5 linked regions of the Ovis aries genome follow. The main gene of each other region encodes a partner of the protein of the gene in region 5 in a complex. Links are inferred from orthologs where the notes say so. Each region holds a gene or a part of one and is shown on either strand. Other genes may lie near its edges.

Region 1 (5,896 bases), on a different chromosome or scaffold from region 5:
CATTCTAGTCCCCAGAAGTGTCAGCAGTTTTATGATACAAGGATAGGTTTTGAGGCTTTTCCACGCCCTAAATCCATCTTTCTTGGCTCTAATTCCATGCTCCCAAACATCTGCTTAATTAATAATCCAGATTCCTTTATACCTTAAATAGACAAGGACTGTGTCTATTGCTCTAGGCAATGGATACCAGTATTTTGGTAACTGGAAAGACAAACCCTCATTAATAAACTGGCATTCTGACTTTCATATTAATCTACTGAGATTTTGTTAGTATGTCAGTTTTAAAATGGCTTCCCCAGTGGATCAGCAGTAAAGAATCTGCCGGCAGTGCAGGAGCCACAGGAGACATGGATTCAATCCCTGGGTTTAAAAGATCCCCTGGAGGAGGGCATGGCAACCCACGCCAGTATTCTTGCCTGGAGAATCCCATGGACAGAGGAGCCTAGTGGGCTACAGTCCATAGGGTCGTAAAGAGTTGGACATGACTGAAGAGACTTAGCATGCACACACAGAGTTGTTGAAAATTCTTCAAAATCTTTTACATACCAATAAAAGCAGGTTTCTGAATCTGCAAAAGTGACAAGTAGACAATGGAAACTTTGGTGACCAAACCAAGAACTGGTAACCCAAGAGAGGGTCGTAGTAGCCACCTGGAGTCCTCTAGCTCATGATGTTTCTCTAATGACAATATCATTTAGAGGTGGTATCTCAAACTAGAATATGGCTGCCTTCTAGTACAAAAATGACAACCTCTGAATACCCAGACTGGAAAAATTCTCATTGAAACTTAAAAAAAAAAAACTACAAATCTTTTTTATGTATACAATCCTGAGCCAGAAGATGTCTGTAGAACTTAGTTATGGAAATCTCTAAGCAACATGACATTTTGGTGTTCATTATCTCATTTGATCTTTACAGCAAAACTGTGCGAAAAAGCAAACTGGTGTTGCTCATCTTACTCAAACTGGTGTCTCTACCTCCTAGATGAGGAAATTGAGGGTAGGAAAAAACAAGCAATTTGTCCAAGGTTACACAGGTAGTAGTGGAGTCAAGATTAAAATAAAGCTTTTTCTGACAGCAAATTCAATTCTTTTACTAGTGCTGTGCTATACACTCACCCCACTCCCTGTATACCACTTAACTAAGGGCTCCCCATACTGGTGAATGCCTCAGGAAGGAGAAAGTACTGTAGAGGAAGTCACAGAGTAAACAAGTGAAGTTAATAAAAATGATTGCAAACTCTTCTACCAGTATAGATACAATGAAAGTATTAACACATTAGAATCAAGGAGCTTGACAGGAAGTAAAAAGTAAATGTTTCTCTATATCAGGCTATCACATGTATCTTTTTTTTTTTTTTTTTTGGCAGCACTGTGGGACTTGTGGGATCTTAGTTCCTCAACCAGGGATTGAATCCAAGGTTACAGTAATGAAAGCTGGGAATCCTAAACACTAGGTCACTAGGAAACTAATTACGCTCTGTAAGTGTTTCTTACAACTTTTGCCTAAAATATCCCAGCTTACTATAACTCATGATTAACACAATTCTATTAACATATCTTCTTCTTAGGTAGACTTAAAAGTTGAAAGCCATCATGTTATGAGAAATAAAACTGAAGACACACCATAATGACTAGCTAGAAAAAGTCTACATAGGTAACTTAGCTTATCAAATAATTTTCTAAGCACAACACTTTATCCAGTTCACCATAGTCCTCACCATGACTTGACGCACAAGCTTAATGGTTTCACTCCAAGGTCTATTTTGGTTAAATTTTGCATGGAGCCGTTCCAAGAGAGAACTCATCTTACTCAGCTTTTCCGACTCTAAGATATAAATCAGAAAAAATTATTAGCAACTCTTCTTTCAAGACCTTCCACAGTTTTTCTTGCAAACAAAACTCCCATACTTCATCCTGGTACGAACTCAAGTTAAAATCTTATCCAATATCATTTACTTCAAAATACACAAAGAATTCATTTCTAATAACAAGTAGACAGAAATTATGGGCCTAATCTAACAACACTATAGAAGGGGACTGCTTTCTCTTCAGACTTAATGAGAAGCAAAAAAAGAACCACCTCCAGTCCTGAGGATCAAGACTACTATTTAATGACAAAATAATTTCATGATAGGCATGAAATCCTTTGCATGACATATGCAGAGCATACATTTGAACATGGCCTTACTATAGTTAGTTGGTTTTCAATGTGAAAATAAAGACTTTCTTAATTTTTTCACATAATTTTAAGAGATCAATTTGTAAGTATTATCAAGAAAACAAGCTTCATTTGCCATTCAGCTATTTCCTGTTCGAATTCAAACTATATGAACAAAGGAAATGTCAAGTGACTAAAGGATGAGTTTCAGGCAAAGGTAAGAGAAAGGTAGAAAAGAATGGATCCCAGATAGTGTTTGAAGGAACCTCCTATAACCTCCAACACTCCTGTAATTCTTTTAACTGCTTAACATGAGCAAGGACTGTGCTGGAGACCAGCAGTGCAAAAATACAATATGCCTGAGATGACATCTGTGAGGGGGTGTGGATAAGTTAATGTGAAAATAACCATCATACAAAGCAAAATGAGATATGCTCTTAAAAATAGAAACACATTACTATCAAAATTCAAAGGAGGAAAAGTGTGTAATTAGTTTAGGGATGTTACAGAAAAGATGTCTTGAAAGATGAATAGAATGTCAGCAATCAAAGATGAAGTAGTGACATCTTCAGATCGAGATTCAACTCCTCCCTCCAAGGCCTTCATCTTCTGGAAAACTGTTCTTGGGGCTGTTTCATTCAGTTTATAATTCTGGAGAAATGTTTGGCAATTCCCATATTTCAGACATTCACTCAGGCACTATTTTACATCTCAGAGATACAGCAGTGAGCAAACTAGACAAAATTCCTGCCTCACTAAGATTCCACTTACACTAGTCATTCGTCTGCACCCTTTTTTCTTTCTCCTTCAAACACACCTCCCTTCTCTCCCTTAAGGCGGCCGACGATAAATCTTTACAAAAATGCTTCAGTGAAACGTTTTTTTGAGCAACTATTATGTGCCCGGAGAAGGAAACGGCAACTCACTTCAGTGTTCTTGCCTGGAGAATTCCATAGGTGAAGGAGCCTGGTGGGCTGCAGTCCGTGGGGTCACAGAGTCGGAAACGACTGAGTGACTAACACAACAACACAACATTATGGGCCCAGGACTATACAATGATGAGTAAGGCAAGATCCTGCTCTACAAAGCTCAGAGCACATTGGAGAAGACAAAAAAATAATCCTGTATCAACAGAACTATGTCCAAAATGCTAACGGAGCATCTAAGCTGAAATGTGGAACTTTAGAGAATATAAAGTTACACAGAAAAGTGTTTTTCAACAGTTTTTAGTTCAGATATTTAAAGACTGAAATTAAAAGCATTTTAAAAATATACAATACTACAAGATATGAACGCTGTGACATTTTTTAAAACTACTGGCTTTTAATACCATAAGGACCTAATCATTTCATTCACGACAAAACATCTTACAGTACTTTGATATATAGCGTCCTATTATTGTTTTATGTCATCATTCAGATTTCTCTTTTGAAGAAGAAAGTTTTACGTTCACTTGCCCGGTCTCCCATCTCTTTAGGCTAAAAAATGCCCTGAGGCCCAAATGTTGCCCCTTGCCAAATAGGAAACCTTCACACTCAAGTTGGGAGCCCCCATCTCCCCAAAGTCGAAGCTCTCCATCACCAAGGAAGGCAGTCAGAATCTAAAACTCAGACATATCCCGCCTCCTAGATCCTGAGCCCTCGGGAGAGTGGCCCCCGCGGAGGCATTGGCTCCCCCAGCTGTGTCCCGCCCCCTGATCTCCCCCTCAGTCACTCACCCTCGGTCTCCCCCTGAGCCTTCATCCTGACGGCGGGGAGGGCCTAAGTCCTACACAAGAGGATATGCCCTTCCCCACCAGTAATGGAGGAACCAAGTTGGTTCGGGCTCCCGGGACGCAGGGAACCTGCAGTCCCACTCTTCCAGGGAAGACTCAGTCTGAAGTCCCCGGCGGCAAGAAGAGAAGGGTGCTCGCGGCCGCCGCCATCTTCCCCAACGGAACTTCCAAAAGATCGCGAGATTAACCGTGATCCTGCGAGAGAGAGAAGGGGGAAAGGGGCTGGGCACCAAATATCGCGAAAAATGATTTATACGTTGCTTCTCGCGAGATTATCCCCACCCTGCCTGCTCTCTGGTTTGTCTCCGACTTCTCAGAGCTAGGCGTGGAGCTTGTGTAGTGCTAGTGTTCAACACCTCTGTGGAAGTTGGCACTTTCGATTTGGCTTTCAAGCAGTTTGCAAAGTAAAAGCCCCAGCTGTCTTTACTGAAATGCTAGCTTTTCGAAGAATATTGCTGTTAGGAATATTTTATTAAAACTTTCCCTTTATTGAGATACTAGACGTTGGGTCTTTGTAACACGACGTCCCAAAGTAGCCCAGTACACTTAATTTCCATTACCGAATTTCCTTTTTAATTTCAGAAATATTTTTCTTGAGCATTTTCAATATTTCTGAGGACGTGGAAGATTTTGAGTTAAGAAAAACTTGTTTGCAACAGTCATGAGTTCAGGTGAGTCGCTCAGTCGTGTCCGACTCTTAAAGACCCCATGAACTGCCTGTCCATCACCAACTCCCAGAACTTGCTCAAACTCATGTCCATCCAGTCGGTGATGCTATCCAACCATCTCATCCTCTATCCTCCCCTTCTCCTCCTGCCCTCAACCCTTCCTAGCATCAGGGTCTTTTTCAATGAGTGGAGTCTTCGCGTCAGTCAGGTGGCCAAAATATTGGAGCTTCAGCTTCAGCATCAGCCCTTCCAATGAATATTCAGTAGTCATCGATTATATTTAGGATCCCAAAGGTGTTCACAATGGATTGTATTTTTTTTGTAGTCAGTAAAAGCAAGCAGGTTAGCTCACACTCTACACTACAAATCACAAAGAATGTGTGGTCCTGTCTCTTGTATCAGTAAATTTTCACGAAGAGAAATCTGGATTAATGCTGAGAATTTAGAAGTTCCTGCCCATTGGAACAAGAACCAGACTAAAATACAATTCTACTAGCTCTGGGTGGAAGTTCTTAAAATAGTTAAGGTTACTCTTTTTTTTTTTTCTTTATTATTATTATAATTTTTTTTTGAAATACATCCTTGAGAATAACTGCTGAAATTTTACCTAATTTGCTGTAAGGATATTTAGCAATGGATTTCCAGTGGCTCTTTAGTCTCAGACTTTTCCCCCATATTTCAAAAATGATATGCAAACATCCTCCAAAACAATTCCTGCTGGTAACTACAGTTCAGATGAACAGACAGATAAGAACAAATCTTTATTTGTGACATGTTTATTTCGACAAAGATATGTATAACCATGCTCCTTGAAAGTAGAATTAAAATTTACTTCTTGTCTATTCCTCTTACCCTCATTCCTTTCAGTCACTACACAGAGAGTTTTTTGAGGCAGTAATTGCTTCTTATTTCGAAATCCACACTACCTAGCATTGTACCTGGGCTTAGTAGGCAAATCTTTTACTGGTCCTAACATTCCTCTCTCAATCTAGCTCTTCTCCCCTTGCCAAATCCCAACCACACTGACCTTCCACCTGCAGACAATTCCTTCACTCCTTTCTCTCCCAAGGTCCTTGAACAGGCCTTTTTAGCTGCAGGAAGGCTTTCCCCTTCTCCATTACCCCTCATCTCACTGAGGCCCTCTTATATAGTTCTCAAAGTAAATGTCTCTTGATCTGGACTAGAGATGCAAACTTTCTCTAAACCCTGACTTAATAAGGTCCTCTGTTATACTATTTCAGTACTTAATTAAGTACATGATGATGTATTCAATGTCTGTCTTCCCTGCTAAACT
Region 2 (6,112 bases), on a different chromosome or scaffold from region 5:
GTCTGAAGTTTAGAATACATGGATAAAGGAAATCTGTGACAGCAACACACTGCAGGCCAGGAAGAGACAAATGGAAACACACGATTCTAAGGTTCTTTTATGTTATGAGAAGGAGCACAACAGCACTTGAAGGTGGCACATAATAAAGGTAAAGTGGGGGCTTCCCTGGTGGCCCAGTGGTGAAGAATCTGCCGCGCGATGCAGGGGACGCAGGTTCGATCCCTGGTTGGGGAGCGTGTACTAAGCCCACGGGCCACGAGAAGCCCTAAAGCAGGAGTCAGCAAACATTTTCTGTAAAGGGCCAGATAAATAATTCAGGCTTAGTGGATGCTATGGTCTGTCTATTACTATTCAGCTCTGCTATTAGCATACAAAAGCAGCCATTGGTGATATGTATTGATAAATGAATGGGCGGCGCGGCGGGATTCTAACAGAACTTACTTTACGGAATCTAAAATTTGGATTTCATGTAATTTTCACTTGCCATGAAATGTTCTTCTTTTGATTTTGTTCCAACCAGTTAAAAATGTAAAAAACCATGCTTTGCTCACAGCCATACAAAAGCTGGTGCCTGGCTGGATTTTGCCTGGAAACCAGTTTGCCAACCTATCTTTCCCAGCAACCAGTAAAATAAAAAATAATGAGTAAAAGGTAACAAGCCGACAAAACAAATACAATGGAACAAAATGTGCTCATTCCAAAAGGCAGGAAAAAAAGGTAAACAAAGGAGAGATAAGTAGAAAACTAATAACAAGATGACAGACATAACCATATCAATAATTAATTAAATACAAATAGTCTAAACACTCCAATTAAAAGGTAGACACTGGACTTCCCTGGTGGGCTAGTGGTTAAGAATCCGCCTGCCAACGCAATGGCAGGCAGGGGGCATGGGTTTGATCCCTGGTCTGGGAAGATTCCACATGCCGTGGGGCAACTAACGCCACGTGCCACAACTGCCTGTGTGCTCTAGAGCCCGTGCTCCCCAACAAGTGAGACCACCACTATGCGAAGCCTGCACAGCACAGCTAGAGAGCATACCCCGCTCGCCACAACTAGACAAAGCCTGTGTGCAGCAACCAAGACCCAGTGCAGCCAAAAAGAAACAGCTAAATAAACACAAATTTTAAAAAAGGAGAAGCTGTCAGAGTGGATAAAAAAGCAAAACCTAGGGTCTTCCCTGATGGTTTAGTGGTTAAGACGTTGCACTTCCAATGCAGAGGGCCAGGGTTCAATCCCTGGTCAGGGAACAAGATCCCACATGCTGCAACTAGAGCCGATGCAGCCAAATAAATTAAAAATAAACATTTTTTTTTAAAAAGCAAAACCTAACTATACAAGTAACAGCTTTTCAAATAAATTTAAAACTAAGTTAAGAATAAAAAGATGGAAAAAGATATACCATACTAACGCCTGTCAGTCAAAAGTAAGTAGGAGTGTTTTAAAATAAGAGTAAGATTTCAGAGCAAGGAATATTACCTGGGATAGTGCAGATTATTTCACAATGATAAAGAGGTCAGTTCAGGAAGAGGACACAATAAACCTAAACATTTGCACTCCTTATAACAGAGCATCCAGTCTCATGAAGGAAAACCTGATAAAACAACAAGGAAACCCACAATTATTATTAAAGATTTCAATACCTTACTCTCAGTAACTGATAGATCAAGTAGAGAGAAATTACCAGCAAGGATATAATAGACTTGGAAAAGAGAAGAACCAAAGAAACCAGCACAGGACTTACAGGTCTAGTGCTAAAGAATCCACCTGCCAAGGTAGGGAACACAGGCTCAGTCTTTAATCCGGGAAGATCCCACATGCCTCGGGGAAACTAAACCAACGCGAAGCAACTACTGCGCCTGTGCCCTAGAGACACTGCTCCGCAACAAGAGAAACCACCAAAATGAGAGGCCCTCACACCGCAACTAGAGAAAGTCCGTGGGCAGCAAGAAAGACGAAGCACAGCCAAAAGTAAATCAATAAAAGTTTTAGAAAAGAAACCCATACAACCTCTAACTGACATCTGGAGAACTACACTCAACAACAAGATACCAGACATTCTTTTCAACTGCACACACAATAGAATTTAACTACAAACCAATAAAAGGAAGGTATTCGGAATATCTGGAAACTAAATAACATACTCCTAAATAATCCACCGCCCAAAGAAGAAATCAAAGGAGAAATTAGAAACTATACTGAATTAAGTGGAAATGAAAGCACAGCACATTAGAAGTGATGAGATACAGCTCACGCACTACTTCGGGAAATTCACATGAATCCTATATTAGAAAAATAGGAAGGCCTCAAATCAATGACCTCAGCTTTCACCTTAAGAAACTAGAAAAAGAACAAAAATAAACTCAAAGTAAGCAGAAGAAAGTAAATAACGAAAGTCAAAACAGAGATAAACACAACAGAAAGCAAAAAAAGAGACGAGAGAAAATAAATGAAAGCACAGCTGGTTCTCTGGGAAGACCGGTGTTTCTTGAGCGCCTCCTATGGGTCAAACACCGTTCTGTCACTGGGGCTACGGCAGTAAACACAACACACAAAAACCCCGGGTACATTCCCTCAATTAGGTCTTTATGACGTCGTTCCTTCTACCTGGAATACTCTCCCCAGATAATCTACTTGTCTCATTCTTTCCTGCTTTATTTTTCACCAAGGAAATTCCTGTCTTCTGACACACCATTTTTCTTTCGTTCGTTTTTCTGCCTGTTTCTTCTCTCTCTCCTCTCTCTTTCTTACTTTGTGTCTATACGGCTCTCTGTTTCTTTCTTTCCTTCTCTCTTTCTTTTTTGTTTCTCCTACTGTTCCTTTCTTCCTTCCTGTCAGTCTGTCTGCCCTTCCATTTATAGACCCCCCACACTAGAACGTAAGCTCCACAAGGCATAAGTTGTTGTGCTTTCTTCACTGCTTTATCACCAGCATCTACAACTGGGCCTGAAACGCTGTAGGTGCTAGATAAATACTTGTTTAACAGATGAATCCTTGCTGTCATAGAGTTTACATTTTCTCTTTCAATGTAGGATTTGAAGATCAGTGCTCAGAAAGTGGGAGATCTTAGAGTCAAAAGCCAAATGTTAATTTTGGAAATCAAAATTTAAAGCTCCTAAATTAGGAGCTAAGGATCAAAGATCATATTTGGAGGTGAGATGTCAGAAGGAGCCTGTGAGCTATAGTTTTAAGATAGGTCTCAGGACTGGGGTCAGGAAGCTCAAATTGAGTTTTGAATGTGGAATTAGTCAATGGATATGAAACTCTGAGGGCCAAAGTTTCAGAAAGGACGGGGTTATGATAAAAACTAGCTTGGAAATTGATTTTATCAAGGGTTAGACTCGGGGGTTAGAGGTCAGAGTAAGCATTAGAAGACAGATTTAGGATTAAGAGGTTGGAAAATCAGTATCAGGGACTAACAGGGAATCAGATGTGGGATCATCCTAAGGCTCGGTGTGGCAGGCTAAGGTTCACTCACGTGTCGCCATCCTCAGTGACGTAGCCGAAAACGAGGGGCGCCCACGACAGCCCCGGGCCCAGCTCCGCGCCTAGCCCAGGTCCTCCAGGGGCCGCCGCGTCCGGACCCAGAGAGCCCAGGCCGCTGTCGCACCATTCATCGGCGTCCGCAGCTTTCCCCAAACACGCGACCCCGGCCATAGCCCCCAAAGCCTCAGGGGACCCCAGCGGCTGCCCGCCAGTCGCTGGGCTCTGCCTGGAATTCTGGCGCTTCCGCCCTGCTGGGAATTCCCCAACACTCCCCCCGGACTCATCCAATCAGAGTCGGCTAAATAGTAAGCGCCCCGCCCTCATACTACACCGTGACCAATCAGAGTATTCAGATGGACTGCGACTCTCTACCCTTTCCCACTCATTCCGCGCGCCCTTTACCAACATGGCTGCGGACGCGAGGCACTCTGGGATTCGTAGTCCGGCTCTCGCGTGTCTCTTCTTACCTCAGAGGGGCACGCTCCGGACGTTTTTCTATGCCTCCTGGGAGTTGTAGTTCTTTGACCTATCTCTGCCCCCCTCCTGTTTCCGGTGCCGTCACGGGATAGAGCAGTCGGTGACAGTCCCGAGGGCCCCCGCCCCGCGCCCATGGCCGATCCGGATCGTGAGTCGGGGGCCCTGGTGGGAGGGTCGGGCCGCGCCGGGGCCTGGCTGAGGGCTGCAGGCCCCGGGGCCCGAGGGCGGGAGTGGTGGGGCAGGAGATGGGGGCTGCATGGAGGGGAATGAGGTTCAGGGAGCCGTTGTGATATATATTGCTGGATAGATTGGTGGGTTTCTGGGTCTCGAGGTTTTAAGGGTCCGTTTGCCACTTCCCCTAAGTGACTAATGATAGCGTGTGTCTCGCACCTTAGTTGCTAAGGACCCTTGTTACTAGGGACTTAGAATACCGCTGTCCGGGTTGCTAAGGGTACCTGGTTGTTAGTGGGAACTGTAGGGTGCTGGGGACCCCTGGTGTCCCCTCCTATCTCTTCCTTCCTCTTGTAAACCTGCCATCTCGCCCTTCCGTTCCGCCCCCACCACCTCTTCTTGCAAACTTGCCTCCAGCCCCAGTATCCCTTATCTTCTCTTTCTTTCTACATTTTCTTCTGCTTGTAAACCTAACCCTCCCAGCACACACTCACACACTACTGTGTCCTTCCTAACTCCTCCTAAGTCTTCCTTCATGCCCTTATATGCTTTACTTTCTTTTCGCTTTCCTAAGCCTCCATGTCCCAGCCTCTTTGTCCTTCACCAACCACCTCTCCTCCCAGCACTCTCCACTCTAATAAGATCTGCTTTTCTTCCTTTCCCTCCCTCCATCTACTCCCTTTTGATACCCCCACCCCATATAACTAGGTTGGAGGTCTTGTTGCCCCTCTCTACCCCGACTTAGAAGCCCTTCATTCCCCCTTAACCAATCCCTTCACTGTAACCACGTCTGCTCCCCCTCCTCCCCCAGCCTCTGACCCTGAGGAGACCCAGGCAGGGAAGGTGCAGGAGGCTCAGGTGAGATGGGGACAAGGGTGGAGGGAAGGAGAGAGATGGACTTCCCACACCCCACACTGGGGGGAGGTGGCAGAGGGGAGTCAGATACCCCAGGGCCCTCAGCTCACTGCCCCAGCTCCTCACCCCGGCTCACCTTGTGGTTTAGCTCCTGGGGGAATGGAGGGTTCTGGGGCCTGTCAGAGAAGGGTGTGCGGCCTCAAGCCTAGGCCTGCCCTTGCAAACTTTCCTTTCTCCCTGCTCACCCCTCCTACCCACCTTCCCTCCTGAACCTCGTTCCCAGTGGGCGTGGAAGAGATTTGGCTCCTGAATTCACAGATCTCACAGACGTGTGACTCGACACTGACTCTACTGGTGATCATGAAAGTAGCGCAGGGCACTCTGGGAGCGCAGAGTAAACCGTGTGAGATCACACAGATTCCAGCCAATCCCTTCCCGGCAAGAGTCCACAGGCTGATCTCAGAGTCAGACTGAGATACAGCACACGGTAGTCAGTGGAGAGTAACTTAGGATTTTCTTAGGTAAGGTGAGAAGTGGTGTCCCAGGCAGAGGGTATCCTGGGGGGCATGAAAGAGTGTCATGCGTTCAGGATTCAGGTGGCTGATTACCTTGATGGTTAGCACTTACTGAGTATTTAAGCCAACTGAGTACTCTGCTTATTTGATGGGCATCCTAGCATCCTGGGGGCAGCGGTGGAGGGGAGGAGTACAGGTCTACTGTGGTTATTTTATAGCCAAGGAATTGGAAACTGAGTTCTTTAACAACTTGTCCTCTGTCCATTGGCTAGAAGAGCAGGGACAGGTTTGCAACCCTCGGTGCCTTGACATATTGCCTCCCAGACACTTCACTGGAAGCAGGGGTCACAGAGGCTCCACCATCACCTTCAGCTTCCCCCTGAGACCAAGTTGCTCCCACGTGCTGGGCAGGGCCCTCGCCTCCTTCCACAGAGCTTCTCTGTCTGCAGCCTGAAAGCGTGCCAGCCCACCCACAGACACGAGGTCGCAGTTCACATGTAGGGCAGAGCAGAAGCTGTGACGAGAGCGCCCCACAGATGCACGGCCGAGCCACACCAAGGGGACAAGAGCTCCCTGTCAGGCCAGGCTTCTCCCTCGGCTAGCTCCCA
Region 3 (6,189 bases), on a different chromosome or scaffold from region 5:
CTCCCTGGACAATGTACTAAACCACATGGCAACAGAGCTATCTTCTTAAGGTCTCCCATCCTCCCATTTAACAGATTATTTCACTATGTAAAAACTACCAGCAGGACAGATTGCCACTTGATTTCATAGTGATGCTACTTTTCACATCTCTGAACTGCAACTTTACTATAGCCTACCTTCTCTCTTACCTTTAAAGTTCCCAGAATTTCTGGAGTTCTGATGCTCCCTTATATTTTTATTTGATCATTGCTTTTGTTTCACTTGGACCTCAAGGAAGTCCTAATGGTATTAAATTGTAAGAGGTCTTGAATCTCTGGTAACAATGCAGAGAGTCTTTAAGCAATTAGAACTACCTAAAGCACAGACACAAAATTTCTTAAAGTCTTTTGAATTAATATCTTTTGGTGAATAGCCCACTTAACCCGGTATGTCATCATTTTCTATTGTAAAGGTAGCATGCGTAATTTAAACTGGCACCTGCTATTTACCACGCAAATAATCATTCTCTTGGATGGCCTTTTGAAAGTTAGCATTTCTTAATAATTCTTTGGCTGTATCAGAACCACAAGAGGCATGTCCACTGAAGCAAACTTCAGGAGCAATAAACTAACAAACAGACTCTAGGTGGTGGTATAGGTTATTTTTTATCATGATGTTTTGCTCTTAAAAAAACTGCAAGAGTCAGAGGAGCCTTCAGCCTCTTTTACTCATGTCTTTTTACTGCAAACTTATACAGTTTTAGGGTGGACAATTAGTAAAAGTTTGGAGACCCACACAGGAAGTGGTCCAAGCATTAAACCTGGTTTTCAACTACCTCAAAGGCACTGTAGAGAGCGCACTGGAGTAAAACCAACAATGAGGAGTCCTTTTTGTTTGTTTTTTTGTAAGTATTTTACTCATGCTCCTAGGGCAGTTTCAAGGCGTAAGTGTGGAAAGAGGTCTTTCCCCACCAGAGTGTAGGAAACAGACTAAAGTAATAATCCTGCAGCCCGCAGGATAATGGCTGTTCCACTGCTGGAATCTTCTTTGTCTTTAGGAACTAATTTCAAGCAGAGAAAAGTTAGCACTAGTGATGAAGCCACTACTCTCTGAAACCAGTTAAACCCAAACCACATTACCAAAACGCTGGGCAAAACCAGAGCAACTTACTTCAAAGCTGAAAACATTTCAACATACTCCAGGCAGCAACCCACACTTTGGTGCCAGGCAGAGGAAGCACCATTTGTTTAAAAAGTCCACTTATCTCACTGTGTCTTCAACAACAAAGGTGGCAAACTAGTGATTAAGCATTGAAGAATCACATCGGGAAGATGCCACCCACTTGCTAAAGTCATGATTCTCTAATAAGCAGGTTCAATGCAATTCATAACTTTAAAGAATGAATTACCAGAGCCCTCTGCTTCACAAATCACTCCCTCACCAAACGTAAAAAACAACCATCATCTGTAACTCCACAACCATTTTTCACTTTCATCCTATGGACTCTGTTCCTCTAAGAACAGTACCCCCTCCCCAACCCCTCCCCCGCCCCGCACAATTTCACATTTAATCATTTATATTACCGGAGACAAACTCCAACTCAGTTCCACCAACTGAGTGAAAAGTCCCTGTGGCTAAGAACGTATTACTTCTTTTTCAACATAAAAACGCCTTATTGAAATTTTTTTTTTAAACACAAAAGTACTTCTGTTGTCCGTCTACTATCTTCAAAACTCAATTCAATAACGAGATAGAAGGTAAAAACTCCTATAATACTTCAGAGATCAACATGTGTCACAGACTCGCAGACTGTTCGCCTCTAAGACATAGTTGATTCCTTTGTTCCTCCAGACGGAACAGCAACTCTTGATTAAAATTTGGAAAACTACTTTGGAAGGGTTGTGACGGTTTGCAGAATATTTCCCGGGAAACCCTTCATAAGACAATATCCGCTAGTAGTAGAAGAGGACACATAGATGTAGGAGAGAAAAACGAAGCCTCCCAGGACCTGCACGGGGTTCACTCTAGAGGTGAGCCCGGTTTTCTGGCTCCGGAGAAAAGTGATGGTTGAGGCCTCGGGTCCCAGGGGCCTCGCCCTCGGGAGGGGAAGGACACGTACCAACGGGCCTGGCTGGACCCGAGGGTCGGCTAGGGGCCGGGAGCGCGGTCCCCTTGCCTACCCACTTTCCCCAGTCCGGGATCCGGCCAGCTCAGAGCAGGGAGGCACCCGGGCGAGAGGCGGGGGGAGCTGCGCCCGGCGCCGCCCAGGACGCCCGGGGCAGCAGGACTGAGAACGGCGCGACGAGAAGCGCCCGGGGCTCCGGGCCGAGGAGGACAGCCGAGCGGGGGCGCGACCCCGGCCCGGGTCCGGGGCAACACGGCGGCCGCCCTCCCGTCCCCGGCCCAGGACGGCCAAGAACGCGCCGGTGAGCCCCCGGGCCAACTCCACAACTTGCCGGCCCCGCTGCCCGGGCCCCCCGAGTTCCCGGGCAGGTTCGGAGCCGGCAGGAGAGGCGGGATTTGCCCGGAAGCCGTCCCCCTCCGCCGAGCTCACCCCGCCGTCCGCGTCCGCTCCCGCCGCCCCGCAGCGCGGGCCCCCCGCCGCCCCGACGCCCCCCGAGGCCCTGCCCGCCAACGCCAAGCCAACGCCGCCGCGGGCCGCGCTCCCGGCCATTTCCGGCGGCGGCGGCCGCTCGTCCGAGCCCCCCGGCCGCGGCCGCCACTCACCCGAGGCCGCCGCAGCTCCGAGCGCCGGGGCTCCGGCCAGCTCACTCCGCGAAGGCGCCCCGCCGCCCCGTCCTCCCTCGGCGCCCCGGCGAGCTCTTCCCTGCGATCGGCAGCGCTGCCGGGCGCAGCGGCCGCCGCGAGGCCACGGGCGGGCGCGCGGGCGAGCGCGGGGCCGGGTCGTCCCTCCGCCTCGGCCGCCGCCGCCGCGCCGCCTCCTCCTCCGCCGCCGCCGCCGCCTCCCGAGTTCGGGGCTCTGCTGCAATGTCTGCGAGGCTGACTTTGAGCGCCTCGCTCGCCGCCTGCCTGCCCGCCCGCCCGCCCGCAGCCGCGCTCCTCCCTCCGCCGCCGAGGCGGCCGCGGCCCAGTCCCTCCCCTCGCCGCTCCACGCCATTCAGCTCTTCAGCCAAGTTTCTTAACCCTTTTTTCCCCCTCTCTTCCATTGTCACCGGGGCGGCAGGCACGCGCTCGGGTCCCGGAGGCTCGCGGGAACTGCGGGGCCCCCTCGGTTGGCTGGTTTTCCTCCTCGCCCGCCCTCCGGCCGGCCGGGCGGGGGCTGCGGGCGCCCCGAGGCAGCTGGAAGAGCGCGGCGGCCGGGAGAGGTGGGTGCTCCAGGCGCCCCGAGCCCTTCCCCGCGGCTCCCAGCTCTGTCCAGCAGCCCCCACCGCCGCCGAAGGCGCCGGGACAGCTCCTCCTGGGGCTCCCGGGGGGGTGGGGACCACTCTCGTGACCCAGGCCAAAAGCCCGCGAAGGGGGCTCAGCCTGGGGGTCGGGACGCCCCGGGTCCCTTCCTGGGTGCCGGCATCTTAGGCTTCCTTCTCCTCCCACTTCACCCCACGACCCGTGTCTCCTGGGCTCCCTCTCGCCCACCCCCCCCAACTTCCACCACCTTGTAATCTGTGTGTCTTGCTTTAGTCTGGCCGGGGGTGGGGGGGGCTAACTGCGGGTCCCTCTGATCCCGCGCCCTGCACGTAGAAGGCACCCAGGGATAATCGGCGGGTGAGTCCGAGAAGAAAACTGGGAAGGAGACCTGAGGAGCGCCGGGTTCAGCTCCTCGGACGGGAGCAGGGTTTATCTTCTGCTGCTTTGTCACTGCGAAGTCTCCAGCGGAGCCGTTCCTCGAATCGACACCGTCCTCGGACCGAACCTGACCCTCCAAGACAAGGCAGAAGGCACCCAGCTGCCACTTCTCGGGCAGCTCTCCGCCGGTTCAGGCTCCGAGTAAGAAATAACAATTACATCACGAGGCCGGGGCGGCAGCCCCGGAGAGCCTCCTGGTTTCCTGCAGCCTGATCTCCCTGAACCCGCCTCTAAATTGGGGGGGATACGGATTGGTGAAGAGAGAAAGTGGAGGGAGGAGAGAGTCATCCGAAACCATCATTTCCCCCTTCTCCGTGTATTTGCTGTTTTAAAATCTTATCCTCAAGGCTCTCCCCAAACATCAAGCTAGAACTATTAACACCCCCGCAACACCTCCCCAGATGTCAGGTTTCTTTTTGACTCTAGCATCTAGCATTTAGTAACTCGCCATGAAAAAGAAAAAGAAAAAAAAAAAAATTGCCAGGGGAAATGAGGACCGTTGCAGAAATTGTTTTTGCTTGCTGCAAAAACGCTGAAGTACAGCTTAGGCTCACTGTAAACTCCGAAATGGCATGCCTGTGTTTAAACACTTATTACACAAAACAAGTGAGTGGATAAGACACTCCATTCCTATGTGTAGGTTTTCAGATCCTTAAGGATTCGACAGCATTTTAAAATAAAGTTGCTAGTGCACTTAAAAAAAAAACACAAAACTATCCAAGTCATAGAACAGTATTCTATGCCTGTTATGTAATGGTTGTGTTGTGCGTGTAAAATGTCATTTAACCTTTAAAAATATGAATGAGGATTCGGGAACACCTTCACAGTCTTAAAAGGGAAAGCGATATTTCAGAAGAATGCTTAATAATACAGCACCTAGCACAGTGCTGGGCACATGGCAGGAAGATTTTTCTTCATGGTGATAGTGCATTTTAGAACAATTATTTTACATCACCCTAGTGATTTCAACTGTGCGATCTGTTGCCATCTTATATATTTAAACCTCATATGAGAGCTTATTATTTGTATCTACCACCATTTGAAATCTGTTCAAGGCAGCTTAGTAAAGTCCACTGTTCTGCATGACAACATTTATCCAGGATTGATTCAGAGCCAACTGTTTGAATTAAGTGATAGGCAGCATTATTGGAGTGTGACCCTTTAAGGAATCAAACTAATTTTCTTTAAAACTGTTGTACAAAGATTTTCTGAAAACGTATTATAAATGTTTCTATTTTCTTAAGCCATTTTTTGGCTTTTTCTTGAAAATTCAGAGTTAATTTTGATAGTAGGTTATAATGAATTTAAGGACTACATCAATTTCCTGTTCTCTATCAAGCTCCTTCCTAGGAGTCAGGGATGCTCCCAGGATGAATAGAAGCCATCAGTCCTCTCCCTGAAGGACTCCAGGATACTATGATCCAGTGATCATCTCTGTCTTTCATAGTTGCTCTCTCTCCCCCTTCCCTAACTAACAATCTTTTCTCTCTTTTGCCAGGGTTCCTGTCTCTAACATTATCCTCCTCTTCTGATTGGCAACTGCTAGTCTGGTGCAGACTGAGATTCCAGATAGCCTCATTTGTCACCATTCAGTCTAAAGTAAAACAAAATAGTGCCATGTAAGGAACTGATGTGCTCACCAAGGAGAAAGGCAGGTGAACTTTAGTGCATCGACCTTGTGGCAGATATGTGGACTACTCAAATGATGCTTTAAAATCATTCTTTTTTCTTCTTAACTGGGTTTTAGATCATTGTGGTTGGTAGATAAACGACCTCCTAGTAAATAAGATTACACAGTTAATGCAACAAGCCAAATACAGGTCCTGCCCTTTTTAACACTCCTGTTAAAAAGTCTACTGCAAAATGTTAGATAACTTAACAGAGCTCCTCACTTAATTCTTCATCTATCTTCTCAAACCCACAGAAATCCAATCATTGAAAGCCTTAACTCTTTTTGATAGTACATTAATGTTAAGTAAATTGCACACCTTTGTGGAATTCATTTTTAATCATTCTAATTGTTTTAGGGCTATTTTGTTGTTGTACTTTGTTTTTTAAAAAAATCAATACCTAAATTTCCTGGCTAAGAGAGTCATTGTAAGGATACTGGGGCATATATGTAATAGAAGAATGCCTATTCTGGAATTTGTATTTTGAAGTCAACTCATTTTAACCAATTGTGATGTGAAAAAGATGCTCTTGAGCTTTTATACTTACACACACAACTATTTTTTAAATTCAGGGTTCCTGTGGGATCAGATACATATAGTTCAGGCTCAGAGCTTTTATCTGCCACAAAGAAGTTGTCTGGGAGAGGCATGCTTATGATGCGCTCCCTGAACCTGTCTGTGATAGCACTTTTCACTCCAGTTGGTGACTGGGTTACTTATCTGTATCCCATTCTAG
Region 4 (5,411 bases), on a different chromosome or scaffold from region 5:
TGGTAAGGCTGGCTGGTTACCCAAGATGCCTTGTTTGTGTAAACGTGATCTCCGCTTTTCTTCTAGCTCTTTTTGAATCTTGTAGATTTTCTCTGCTAGTAAGTGATAGTATTCATCCTAAAAAGCAGCAACATTCAATACTAGTTATTTGCAAACAAACAACTGATCTGGTTTTGTAGGGTCTAACAAACTAATGAACTTTTAAATTAAAATTATTTACACTGGGTAAAGTATTCAGCACTTCTAACTCATAAACCAAAGCCCAGGGATGCTATGTGACTTAACAGTCAGGGGGTACTAAGTCCTCATGACAGTTCATTCCACAGCTGAACCTCTTCTTGCATACTCACTGACACAGGTGACAACATAGTATAACAACACTCCACTATAAAGTATACCCACAAATTAGAAAAACTTCATTTACCCCTGTAGTGGGGACACTTTAAGATTTTGCAGTTACAAACCAAGAGAGGTATGCAGGGAGGACCTCAAGTCTTAGCTGGGACATCTCCCTGGTCAGTGTCCTCAGGCGAGGAGACCAGCAGGCTGATGGAAGCCCCCCTCCTCCCCACGTCCAGACCTGCAGTCACAGGTCACCCGGGGGCCATGCGGCTGGAACGCGAACGCTGACCCACCCTGCTGTTGGCAGACTCGTACATGTCCCCTTCTACTTTCTTAGCGTAGGCCACCAGGTTCTCCATGCGGCGATCCTTCAGGGCTGCAGGGTCAGGTGTCGGGAAGATGGCTTGGACACTGAAAGGACAGCGCGTACTCTCAACCTACTTTTAGTACAATGTCAACATCCTGCCATTTCAGACGTGACCCGGGAAGAGAAGAAACCGCGGTCTACCTCTGGGCACAGTACATTGCTGAGAGACCCCCAATCTCTTGCCTAGTTCATGCGCAGTCACTCTCTGGAGACAATGCTGATCTGCCAATTTATCCACAAATCAAACACAACAATATTTTGCTATTAACAATAAGTGCTTGACCAACTCAAGAATAATATGATTTTGAATTCCTAATCTTTAAACTACTAAGTACAAAAAATTTTGATTAAAATAATGAAGGAGAAAAAAAAGAAAACTCCATCGGAATCGAGTTGATTAATGTCACCCTTCATTTAACTTAAATTGCTGGAGAAATCAACTATTAATTTCCCATGTTAATTGTATGATGGTATTGTGAAGCCATCCGTATTTACTAGGCCCAAATTCCTGCAATTCTCAGGGCTCCCCACAACTATAGCCTTGAGCCATAAAATAAGACAAGCTTCTGAGTGAGTTCCAGCTCCCCATGCACTGAGAGTTTAGAAAATAGGCCTGCCCCTGTGACATGGGTCAAAGTTCATATTCCTTTCCAGGATCCACTGGGCACTCAGAATCTGGGATCCTCCAGCCTCCCTAAACAAGCACGTGATCCCCTTCAGTTGCAAGGGTATGATCACCTGGGACACAAAAGAACACCTGGGAGTTAAATCAGATACCCAGGAAACTGCAAAACTATCACACTGCCATCAGTCACAAAGTGCTTCCATCACATGTGAGTAACAGGCGAGAGGGCCACGTACAGTTTATGCACTAGATGGCTCCGCAGGTCCTGAGTGACGTGTTCATGCCAGCTTTTCCGAACGCCAGTGCTGGAAGGAGGTGCTGCTGCAGGTATAGTGCTAAGGGTGCCAATGTTCCCAGAGTTTGAGCCATCATTCATCAGGGGGCTGAGGGGAGAGGAAGAACAGGTCATCCAACTGGAAAAGTGACTCACATGACATTCATCCAACTAAGGGTCTTCAACCATATGTGACTTTAAACTCTGTTATCTGTTAGAAAGAAAGAAAGAGGGAGGGAGGGAGGGAGGGGAGAGGGAGAGAGAAGGGAGGGAGGGAAACAGCCCTACACTTTAGAAAGAACCAAGAGTTCTATGTGGTTCCCAGCCCACTTTAACATGTGACTGTCACTCAGACAGGAGCCAAATGAAACAAGGGTCTTACTTTGTAGCCCCAAGGGAAGTTGGAAGAGCTGATTCTGAAATCAAGTTTGGTGGCTGCTGATCTGTTGTTATTCCTCCTGCTGGAATGTTCATTGGGTTATTTCCTGAAAGACAAAAAGAAAAGGAATCAACGAGCTCCTAAATTATACACCTCAAAGTCCTAATAACAGATAAGTCACATATAAAGAAATGATTCTTATGAAAATTATTCTTATGACTCATAATAATAAATGCTATGGCAGGAACTCTGGGAGTTATATTTTCAATAATGGTGGTCAAATTGTATAAATTCAATTGCTTCCCATCGCACTTGAAAACCAAAGAAGAGCATTTCTACGGAGGCTGGCTGGCAGCATGAATGCTTGGCGGCTATGGAAAAAAATCAGAAATGATCCATCTGCAGCTTCGGTTTTGATTCTGGCTTCATTCCCATCACATACACTTCTTCATCTTTTTGTTTTGCATATCAGAAGATAAAAATCATAGAAATTAACTTCACGTGAAGAAGACAAAAGGTCAATTTGTCTACAGTATTCGTTCTAAAGTAAGAGAAAGGTGGGATGCAGGTTAATAGTCTTGTTCCAGATTATACCACCAACAGAAGTGGTGTCAGACTGGAAGGGACATTTCAAGACTCCAACCCAGTCTTCTAGCCAGCAGGAGTCAGAGATGCATTAGGGCAACTATTTCCCAACACGCAACAGATGAAGTATCTTTAAAGTGAAAATACTTTATTAGGAAAAGAACCAAACCACCACAACAACCCTGTTCTGAGATCCCTGTTAGCTTGGCCGGATTCAGACTGGTCGGCTCTAGTCACACGTAGTCCACAACCAAGAAATGCTAGGAGCTGCAGAGTCAAGGCAAGTGGTACTGCCCTAATTCCAACCTGTGAGATTTTGCATTCTGAGCCATGTGAAATGCCCTTTATGAAAACTATCCAGACACAAGTGACAAAAATGTTGGTTCATTTGCAAATGTGATTCATCTTACAAGCCTGTAACATCTTCAGTGTACCTGACTCTTTAGCCTTTTCCTGGAATTTTTTTATTTTAATCATTTAAAAGACACCATTCACCATAATATATATATTTGAATTTTATTACATATATATATATTTAAATTTAAAATTTGAATTTAAAGTAAAACAGTAGCTGAAAACAGCCCTGGGCTCCAGAAGGCTCGTCATTCCCGACACTGCATTTGCACAAGGAAGTTCTCGAGAGTCCTTTCACCTACCCAGGGGGTTGAGACTCCTCATCTGCTGGTGAGTTTGAGGCTGTGCTGGTTGCTGGCCAGGAACCTGAGGCTGCAGCTGCGTCTGGGGCTGGTTCAGGTAGGGGAGTCCAAGAGCAGCATACGCTCGTTGCATGGAGCTGGGGTCTATCGGATTTGGGTTACTTAAAGAAGTGGCATTCTGTTGGCCGGTGCCAACAGAACCAATGGTGTTTTGAATTCCACTAGCTGGAGACCCCAGGATGGCTATAAGAACAAACAGACAAACACAAGAGATAAGTAAAAGGGAAAAGTCTACAAGTGAGTTAAAAACGACTGAAAAACAAGTAAAATTTTATCAGAAGACCACCTATGTATATCATGAAGCACTGGAACCCCGCTACCAAGAAAGGAACTGTGCAGACAGAAGGAGCCCATTCTATTAATTTCATCTGCACAGCGGCACCCGAAGAACAAAAATCTGAAGAGAATTCAAGCTTCTATGTTAGAAAACAACGGACCAGAAAATCAGCGATCACACAGTCAAGGTCAGCGTGTATTAAATGTAGAGGCTCATAAGAAGTCTGTTCTGGGGAAACAGCAAACATGGGAAAACATGGGGGTCATCAGCCTCCACTGAGGCGAGCTAAGAAGCCCCTCCTGCTGCTGCTCCTCGGGGTCCCTCACTGCTCAGTGCACAGGCACAGAGGAGGAAGAGGAGGAGGAGCGGAGGAGACGCCTAGTTGGTCAGTTCTGTTACTTATTAACCTAATTAATATCTTAATTACTAAAGGTATCAAGTAACAGTAACTTAATTACGATCTCTGACACAATCTTCCAAAAAACAAAACTGCATTTCCTTGAACCCATGGTGTACAGTGACCAGGCAACACCACGCCTTTCTCTGCTCCGAGTTTCCTACGTGGGAGGGCACGATGCTAAGCTCTCTGCTATGTGAAGCTGTTCAAGAAATACCGTGGCTGACTGAGGAAAATCTGTAGCAACATAAAGAGCTCCATTCCCAAGGGCTTCAAAGTTAACAGAGAAGACCCAAATACCCATCTGTCCGTCTGTCTGTCCATCGTCCAAATGTCCTAATCGATTCAACATATGGCAGAAGTTCTGCATCATACCACTGATTCTTATTTTTAACAGTTCCTTTCTTTCCAACTTCCCCAAACTTCAGAGCCATGTCATAAACAGCAGGTTATAAAACTGATACTATAACATAAGATCTTTGAGACATAAAACACTATCACAAAATTTTTCTTTAAAATTCAGACCATTACTGTAATAATAATATCTTCACATCACCATCAGCACAATTATAATATAAACAACTCAAACACTTATCCGAGTAACTTAACGAAACCAAAATGTGTTTAAAAAAAAGCCCTTGATAATTACATATTCCATACTATTTAACTTTTCTAAGAAGAATATTCAGATCTCAAACTCATTAATGCTCATTAGACACAATTATATACACCAAGCACCTCATTATTATAAATGAAAAGCAATTTCCAAGGTACATTTTATGATAAGTATGTAGCTCTTAAATAAGTCATGTATAATACTTTTAAAGGTATTTTTTCTAATAGTTAATACTCCACGAAACTTTAAGCACATGCCATTGTACTACTGAAACTGACATGCTGACTCATCTAAAGGAAGTGCAGTGGAGAAAGGCAAGTGACAGTGCTAAGATGACTTGTTTTTCTATTACTCTGTGGGGTAAGGAGGAACAGACCTAGGCCTATATTGACTTGCATATTGATCAACTGCGGAGAGAGAGGAATTTAAAGAAACAAGGTGTACAAGGCTTTGGGTTTTGGGTGAAGATGCAATAGCAGTGCCTCAACAATGATTTCTTTCTACTAAAATCCACTCATGTCCACACTTCCCCAAATGCCATCCTTTTACCCCAAATTCCCCATCCTAGGAGGAGGGCCACTCCCAAGCTCAAGGCCACTTATGGACTACTTACGGACTTCCTCCTCTCATGGAAGCTGCTGACTTGGTCAATGTAATTTTTGTGTGTGTTAAAAGCATTTATGTCTTAAAGTACACATTACTGTGGTTTTTTTTTTTACTTTAAAAGAAAACATATCTATCTGAAGACAAGCATTTGGTACTTGACATTTTTAACTAATTTAGAGACAAGGAAAACAAAATACAAACAAATAAAAAGGTCTCTGAAAAACAGA
Region 5 (5,411 bases):
GTAATTGCACACCTCTCCTGCAGGTGTTCATCTGAAAATAAATGACATGAAAAGGCTTTCAAGGGTTGGGACAGTGTCTTCAGAATGTCCTGTGGTTCTTACTACCCTAGGAACCTACTACATTGTACTCAAAACCAGACTCTGCCTGTGAAAACTGTGGTCCAGAGATGGGATCCAGGTCACAGTTGAAGGTGATGGCAGGGCTGGGGACAGAGTTCAGGCACAGTTATAGTTTGTTTCAACATAATTCCCATGTGCTTTCTCAACTTGTTACCAGGGAAGAATTCTACTTCTTGGAAAACGGACTCAACCACCATTATCACCCAGTCTGGGTTTCCTGAACAGGTCATCAATGCGCCTGCTGATGTTTGAGACTCCCCTGTAGCAGCCCAGGCTGCTCAGAGCCTCTGAGAAGATAAAACTCATATATACAACATGAGGACGGGGCTCCCAGCTCCCTGGGAATAATAATCAAGACAGCTCTACAAGGAAAGAAAGGTGGTGTGATATCCGAAATATATTTTTATGCCCCACAGAGAACTTCTGAGAGGTACTTGAGTAGTTCTGCATGACACAATCGTGAGATCGACCACCTTTTCCAAACCTAGGTCAGGCCCTTCCCAGAGAAAAACAGGGCTGCTTGAAGGCCTACAAATGTGGACAGGGATTTTGATGCCAAGAAAAGAAAAGATATGGATCCTGAAAGAGCATGGTGGCATGAAGGACGCCTCAGTTCATTTGTTCAAGTTAAGATGACCTGTTGCAGAGTCAGACACGGCTTAGCAACTAAACCACCACCAAGATGACCTGTACCTTTCTATACTAGTCTCAAAATTTTAATTAGGACAGCTTGAAGAAGTTTTTCCCTATTTAAAATAATGTTTATTTACCGTATCTGAAAACGCTCTCTCTCCTCTATTTTAGACTCAGCCTAAAGTAGGTACCAGCCAACCACAGAATGGTACTCTGTGTGTGTGTGTGCGTGTGTGTGTGCGCGCGCGCGCGCAACATATATGCATGGGTGCTTAGTTGCTCAGTTGTGTCCGACTCTTGACAATCCTATAGATTGTAGCCTGCCAGGCTACTCTGTTCATGGGATTTCCCAGGCAAGAATACTGGAGTGGGTTGCCATCCCCTTCTCCAGGGGATCTTCCCAACCCAGGGATTGAACTGGGTTCTCCTGCATGGCAGGCGGTTTCTTTACCACATCTGTGCATAACATGGTAAGTCATTTACTCAAAGGGAAAACAACAAAACCCAGCCACCCCAAATGAAGACAGTAGAAGAGAACTAACTGATTTGTCTGTCGTCTTTCCCGTCAAGATCGCCCTCGCCTTTGCTTTGGTCAGCGGGAAGGACTTTATGTACGAGTCATACAAATGCTTTGCCAGGGCCCGGAGGTCAGCAGACTCTGGGTTCAGTTGGTCGATGTCGCTGGAGATCTCCGCTAACAGCTTTTCCTTCTCGGCCTGTGGCATGCGCCCGAACCTGATGGCTACAGAAGAAAAGGGTGGGATGAATTAGTGCATTCCTGTATATACATATATATTCCTGTGTGTATATATATATACACACACACACATCACAACTTCCTTATCCTTTCACCCATCAGTGGATACTTAGGCAGTTCCCATGGCTTAGCTATTATAAATCATGCTGCAATGAACATGGGAGGGGTGGCAAGTGAATTAGGTTGAGTCTTATTAAAAATATTTTTGTCCTTTAACATCTAAGGGGTGAATTCGCAGTCATATCAGGCTTTTGACAATGAGTAAGGCTTTGTCTCAAGGTCAGTTTTTCCACTTTTAACATGTTTCTTTTGCAACAGCTGTAGCCTGTAAACAAGACTTGTATGAAAAATAACACTATTGCTTTTCATATGACTGTTGCCAATAAGTTATGTTTTTTCCACCTCTCTTTCTTGAGGGAAAAAAATATGCGCATTTGGAGGCTTTGCAGGACTTGGCAATCATTTTATTTTCTAGCTCCTCTACAGTAAAACAAGGGGCAGTCTTATCACCACGATTAAGTAATTTTTAAGTTGCGGGTAACTTTTTTCAAACTTTTTGGAGAGGACATTTAAACATTTGTCCAGGTTTCTCTCCAAAGTCAAGATGAGCAAGATACTACGGCCTCATCTTCTGACTCTGAAGTCTTACGTGACATCGTTTTAATTCATTCACTGAACACCTGTTTGATGGAAGATACCGGCTCAAAAAACTGGACTAGGGGACACAAGGACGAAAAGGATGGGTATGGTAGATCCAAAATGTAAAAGAGGGCCTACATATGCAGGGATCATTCTCTCCCTCTCCTGTACTGCTTTCTACCAGCTCCTTCCGTTCCATCTAAGCAGGGTTTAGGGTTCTGACCCCAGAACCATCCGCCTCATGCTCTTTCCTCCACCACTGGACTTACTGAAAGAGCTGTTGCCCCTCACTGTCTTACTCATTACCTCCCAACCCACTGCAATCGCTTCTTGGCCTTTTGGCTAGGATCAAGTGTAGTAAGGGGGCTTCCCTGGTGTCTCAGTGGTGAACAACCCGCCTGCCAATGGAGGAGAAGCAAGAGATGCAGGTTCAATCCCTGGGTTGGGAAGATCCCCTGGAGGAGGAAATGGCAACCCACTCCAGTATTCTTGCCTGGAGAATCCCATGGATGGAGGAGTCTGGCAGGCCACAGTTCACTGAGTCGCAAAGAGTAGGACATGACTGAGAGACTGAGCGCACAGCACCATTGCAATCTAGCTTTTCCTCATTTAAATTTGCCAAAACTTTGCTCTTACAAAGGCCCCTACAGTTCCTCTAACGGTCACATCTAGGGGCCTGTTCTAAGTGCTCGTTCTGCTTGAGCTCCCTGGCTTCCTCCCAGCCCTTCACACTGCTGACCTTCTGCACCCTCTAATTTCAAAAGTTTCTCACACTGGTCTCTGCCTTTCTGGCTCCCCATATCTTGCTGTCTGCTAGTTTCCAGACCTCCGACAGCCCCTCTTCCTTCATTTACATTCTGTTATTCCTAGCTCAAGTTTTCTCTCTAATGCATAAAATGTGCTAAAGACTCCTGCCCTCTCTTCCCTGAGATTTGTACCCTTATTTTTCACTTCTTCCTGTGTCCCTTTGCCCGTGGATGCTGGATATTCTGTAGGCACCTCAAGTTAGTGGCTCAGTCATGTTTCTTTGCGACCCCATGGACTGTAACTCACCAGGCTCCTCTGTCTACAGGGTTTCCCAGGCAAGAATACTGGAGCGGGGTGCCGTTCCCTTCTCCAGGGGATCTTCCCAACACAAGGATCAAATCTGGGTCTCCTGCAGGCAGATTCTTAACCATCTGAGCCCATGATTTAACGGAACAGAAAATCAAACTTTTCATTTCCCCTTCAAATTGTCTCCTCCTCCAGTTTTCCTTTCTTGATTAACTCAGTCACCCAAACTAAGCACCTCGAGTAATCTCTGACAACCTCTCTCCCCTCGGACACGTGCAGTCATTGGTCACGGCTGTGATGTTTCTCTCGATGCTGGCACCTCGCGTGATGCCCACTGTCTGAGTTCACAGGATTGCACTCGTCTCCTGATGGATTTTCCTGACTTTTCCCTCTCTAACTTCTCATTTTTTTTTTTTTTTAACTGCTTTCAATAGTTTGGTTTTTGACAACACAGGTCTCTTTGCTCCCTTGCTTTCTGAGAACGTGGTGCTTACAGGAGAGGTTAAGAAGCTCACAGAAGAGAAAGAATGGGGAATTAGAAACTGGATGGAAGAGAAGGTGTTTGACTTGGGGCTTCAACACCAGGTAGGATTTTGACAGGGAAGGAGGGCACAGGAAGCAGAGCCCCAGAGTGTTCTATCACCAGGTAATTTGCAGCAACAGCCAAGAATACAGCTTGTCTGAAATGTAAGCGGAAAAAGCAGCAGTGGGAGAGGGCGGTGGAGGCTGGACTGTGGGCAGTAATGAACCCCTTGAAGGTGTGAGCACCACAGCCTCCGCCTTAGGACTTTTCACTCTGTTAAACCTTCTGAAAGTTATTTGAATTTGGGGAGATTTCCCCCATACCACAAAGAAGACTAAAGAAACAAAAAGTAACATGTTGCAGTTTAAAGGCATTTGCCATTCGGGTTTTTCTTTTTTGCAACATACACTGGTGCTTCTGTTTGCAGGAAAGAAGAGAACTACCTTAAAATGGGGAGAGCCACAGAAACTTGTGAAACCATTTGTTCTAGAATTTAACAAGCTGCTAAGAAGTTATTTTGAAAGTTGTCAGCTTTTTTTTTTTTTAATAAAAGAAAAAAGGCATCATTTATATACTACAACATCCTAATCAGCAAAGCGAGTGAAGGTGTAAGTGTTGGTTGCTCAGTTGTGTCTGACTCTTTGCGAACCCCATGGACTATAGCTCGCCAGGCAGAGCGGGTAGCCATTCTCTTCTCCAGGGGATCTTCCCGACCCAGGGACTGACCCAGGTCTCCCACACTGCAGGCAGATTCTTTACCGTCTAAGCCACAAGATGCCTAATTCTGTAAAGCTAAGGTTTCACTAACTTTTCATATTTGTGAAAAATAAAACTTCTGTCTCAAGTGGATGGAATAGGGAAAACCTAGCTATTTTCTATGCAGCCCATTTCCATAAAAAAAAAAAAAAAAAAACCCTGAAAAGGGATTTTCTTAGTCATGTTTGCAATCCTGTAAATGCTAAAGTACGACCTTTGATACCATGATATTTAATTTCTTTCCTTTTTCACCTTTGTAAGAATTAACCGAACACTCTCTACAAGGCTGCTCCTCTCTCTAAATAGAGTAAGCTAATGGTCACAAGAAGGCAAAAGCCGACCTAATTATCATGCTTATGATAGCTTTGACTTTTCTGGAAAGGGAAAATTATATCATCAATACTATAAAAGTTGCGCTTTAAATTATTTGCCTGTAAACAATAAACAATAGGAGATGTATTTTACATGAATGTGTGCAAGCAACAGAAAATATATTGTACCTCAATACGAAAAGTGACAATTTTTAAAGGACAAGAAGTAAATATGCTTCTGCTAAGTTGCTTTAGTTGTGTCTGACTCTGTGTGACCCCATAGACAGCAGCCCACCAGGCTCCCCCGTCCCTGGCAAGATTCTCCAGGCAAGAACACTGGAGTGGGTTGCCATTTCCTTCTCCAATGCATGAAAGTGAAAAAAGTGAAGTCGCTCAGTTGTGTCTGACTCTTAGCGACCCCATGGACTGCAGCCCACCAGGCTCCTCTGTCCATGGGATTTTCCAGGCAAGAGTACTGGAGAGGGGTGCCATTGCCTTCTCCGAAAAGTAAATATAATTGAAAGCAAAACTGACATCTTTTCCTACAAGGTATTTGTAACAATGACCTCAAAGTCAAAGATTTCTTCATAAAGATAAAATAAATTCACTGCGACATGAT

What was found.
Region 1: the proteins of PPARG (region 5) and MED1 are in contact, whole or in part, in a crystal structure (PDB 6ONJ), measured with the Homo sapiens proteins. The link is inferred for Ovis aries from reciprocal best matches to the Homo sapiens genes PPARG and MED1. Residues at the interface, in NP_056953.2 of Homo sapiens: Val321, Gln322, Thr325, Glu326, Lys329, Phe334, Leu339, Asn340, Asp341, Gln342, Val343, Thr344, Leu346, Lys347, Gly427, Leu429, His494, Pro495, Leu496, Glu499, Ile500, Lys502; in NP_004765.2 of Homo sapiens: Asn638, Thr639, Asn641, His642, Pro643, Met644, Leu645, Met646, Leu648, Leu649, Lys650, Asp651.
Region 2: the proteins of PPARG (region 5) and NFKBIB are in contact, whole or in part, in a crystal structure (PDB 9CK0), measured with the Homo sapiens proteins. The link is inferred for Ovis aries from reciprocal best matches to the Homo sapiens genes PPARG and NFKBIB. Residues at the interface, in NP_056953.2 of Homo sapiens: Gln322, Thr325, Lys329, Phe334, Leu339, Gln342, Val343, Leu346, Lys347, Leu496, Glu499, Ile500; in NP_002494.2 of Homo sapiens: Asn286, Pro287, Ile288, Leu289, Ala290, Leu292, Leu293, Arg294, Ala295.
Region 3: the proteins of PPARG (region 5) and NRIP1 are in contact, whole or in part, in a crystal structure (PDB 9CWN), measured with the Homo sapiens proteins. The link is inferred for Ovis aries from reciprocal best matches to the Homo sapiens genes PPARG and NRIP1. Residues at the interface, in NP_056953.2 of Homo sapiens: Val321, Gln322, Thr325, Lys329, Phe334, Leu339, Gln342, Val343, Leu346, Lys347, Pro495, Leu496, Glu499, Ile500, Lys502; in NP_001426204.1 of Homo sapiens: Ser130, Thr131, Leu132, Leu133, Ala134, Leu136, Leu137, Ser139.
Region 4: the proteins of PPARG (region 5) and CREBBP are in contact, whole or in part, in a crystal structure (PDB 7RLE), measured with the Homo sapiens proteins. The link is inferred for Ovis aries from reciprocal best matches to the Homo sapiens genes PPARG and CREBBP. Residues at the interface, in NP_056953.2 of Homo sapiens: Val321, Gln322, Thr325, Glu326, Lys329, Phe334, Val335, Leu339, Asn340, Gln342, Val343, Thr344, Leu346, Lys347, Leu496, Glu499, Ile500, Lys502; in NP_004371.2 of Homo sapiens: Asp62, Ala63, Ala64, Lys66, His67, Lys68, Gln69, Leu70, Ser71, Leu73, Leu74, Arg75.

The regions. Positions count from the first base shown.
Region 1 is NC_056064.1:39,605,743-39,611,638, forward strand, and holds the start of MED1 (mediator of RNA polymerase II transcription subunit 1), read right to left. Parts: upstream 4,112-5,896; 5' UTR 3,903-4,111; coding exon 3,878-3,902; intron 1,828-3,877; coding exon 1,721-1,827; intron 1-1,720. UniProt on the Homo sapiens protein: Component of the Mediator complex, a coactivator involved in the regulated transcription of nearly all RNA polymerase II-dependent genes.
Region 2 is NC_056067.1:47,981,049-47,987,160, reverse strand, and holds the start of NFKBIB (NF-kappa-B inhibitor beta), read right to left. Parts: upstream 3,723-6,112; 5' UTR 3,658-3,722; coding exon 3,479-3,657; intron 1,251-3,478; exon of another isoform or gene 1,178-1,250; intron 1-1,177. Other genes in the region: SIRT2 (NAD-dependent protein deacetylase sirtuin-2), read left to right, coding at 4,096-4,111, 4,946-4,992. UniProt on the Homo sapiens protein: Inhibits NF-kappa-B by complexing with and trapping it in the cytoplasm.
Region 3 is NC_056054.1:142,919,903-142,926,091, reverse strand, and holds the start of NRIP1 (nuclear receptor-interacting protein 1), read right to left. Parts: upstream 3,934-6,189; 5' UTR 3,593-3,933; exon of another isoform or gene 3,251-3,592; intron 2,974-3,250; exon of another isoform or gene 2,707-2,973; intron 1-2,706. UniProt on the Homo sapiens protein: Modulates transcriptional activation by steroid receptors such as NR3C1, NR3C2 and ESR1. Also modulates transcriptional repression by nuclear hormone receptors.
Region 4 is NC_056077.1:3,655,553-3,660,963, forward strand, and holds part of CREBBP (CREB-binding protein), read right to left. Parts: intron 3,472-5,411; coding exon 3,229-3,471; intron 2,094-3,228; coding exon 1,991-2,093; intron 1,718-1,990; coding exon 1,571-1,717; intron 754-1,570; coding exon 636-753; intron 118-635; coding exon 1-117. UniProt on the Homo sapiens protein: Acetylates histones, giving a specific tag for transcriptional activation. Mediates acetylation of histone H3 at 'Lys-18' and 'Lys-27' (H3K18ac and H3K27ac, respectively).
Region 5 is NC_056072.1:56,669,524-56,674,934, forward strand, and holds part of PPARG (peroxisome proliferator-activated receptor gamma), read right to left. Parts: intron 1,496-5,411; coding exon 1,296-1,495; intron 1-1,295. UniProt on the Homo sapiens protein: Nuclear receptor that binds peroxisome proliferators such as hypolipidemic drugs and fatty acids.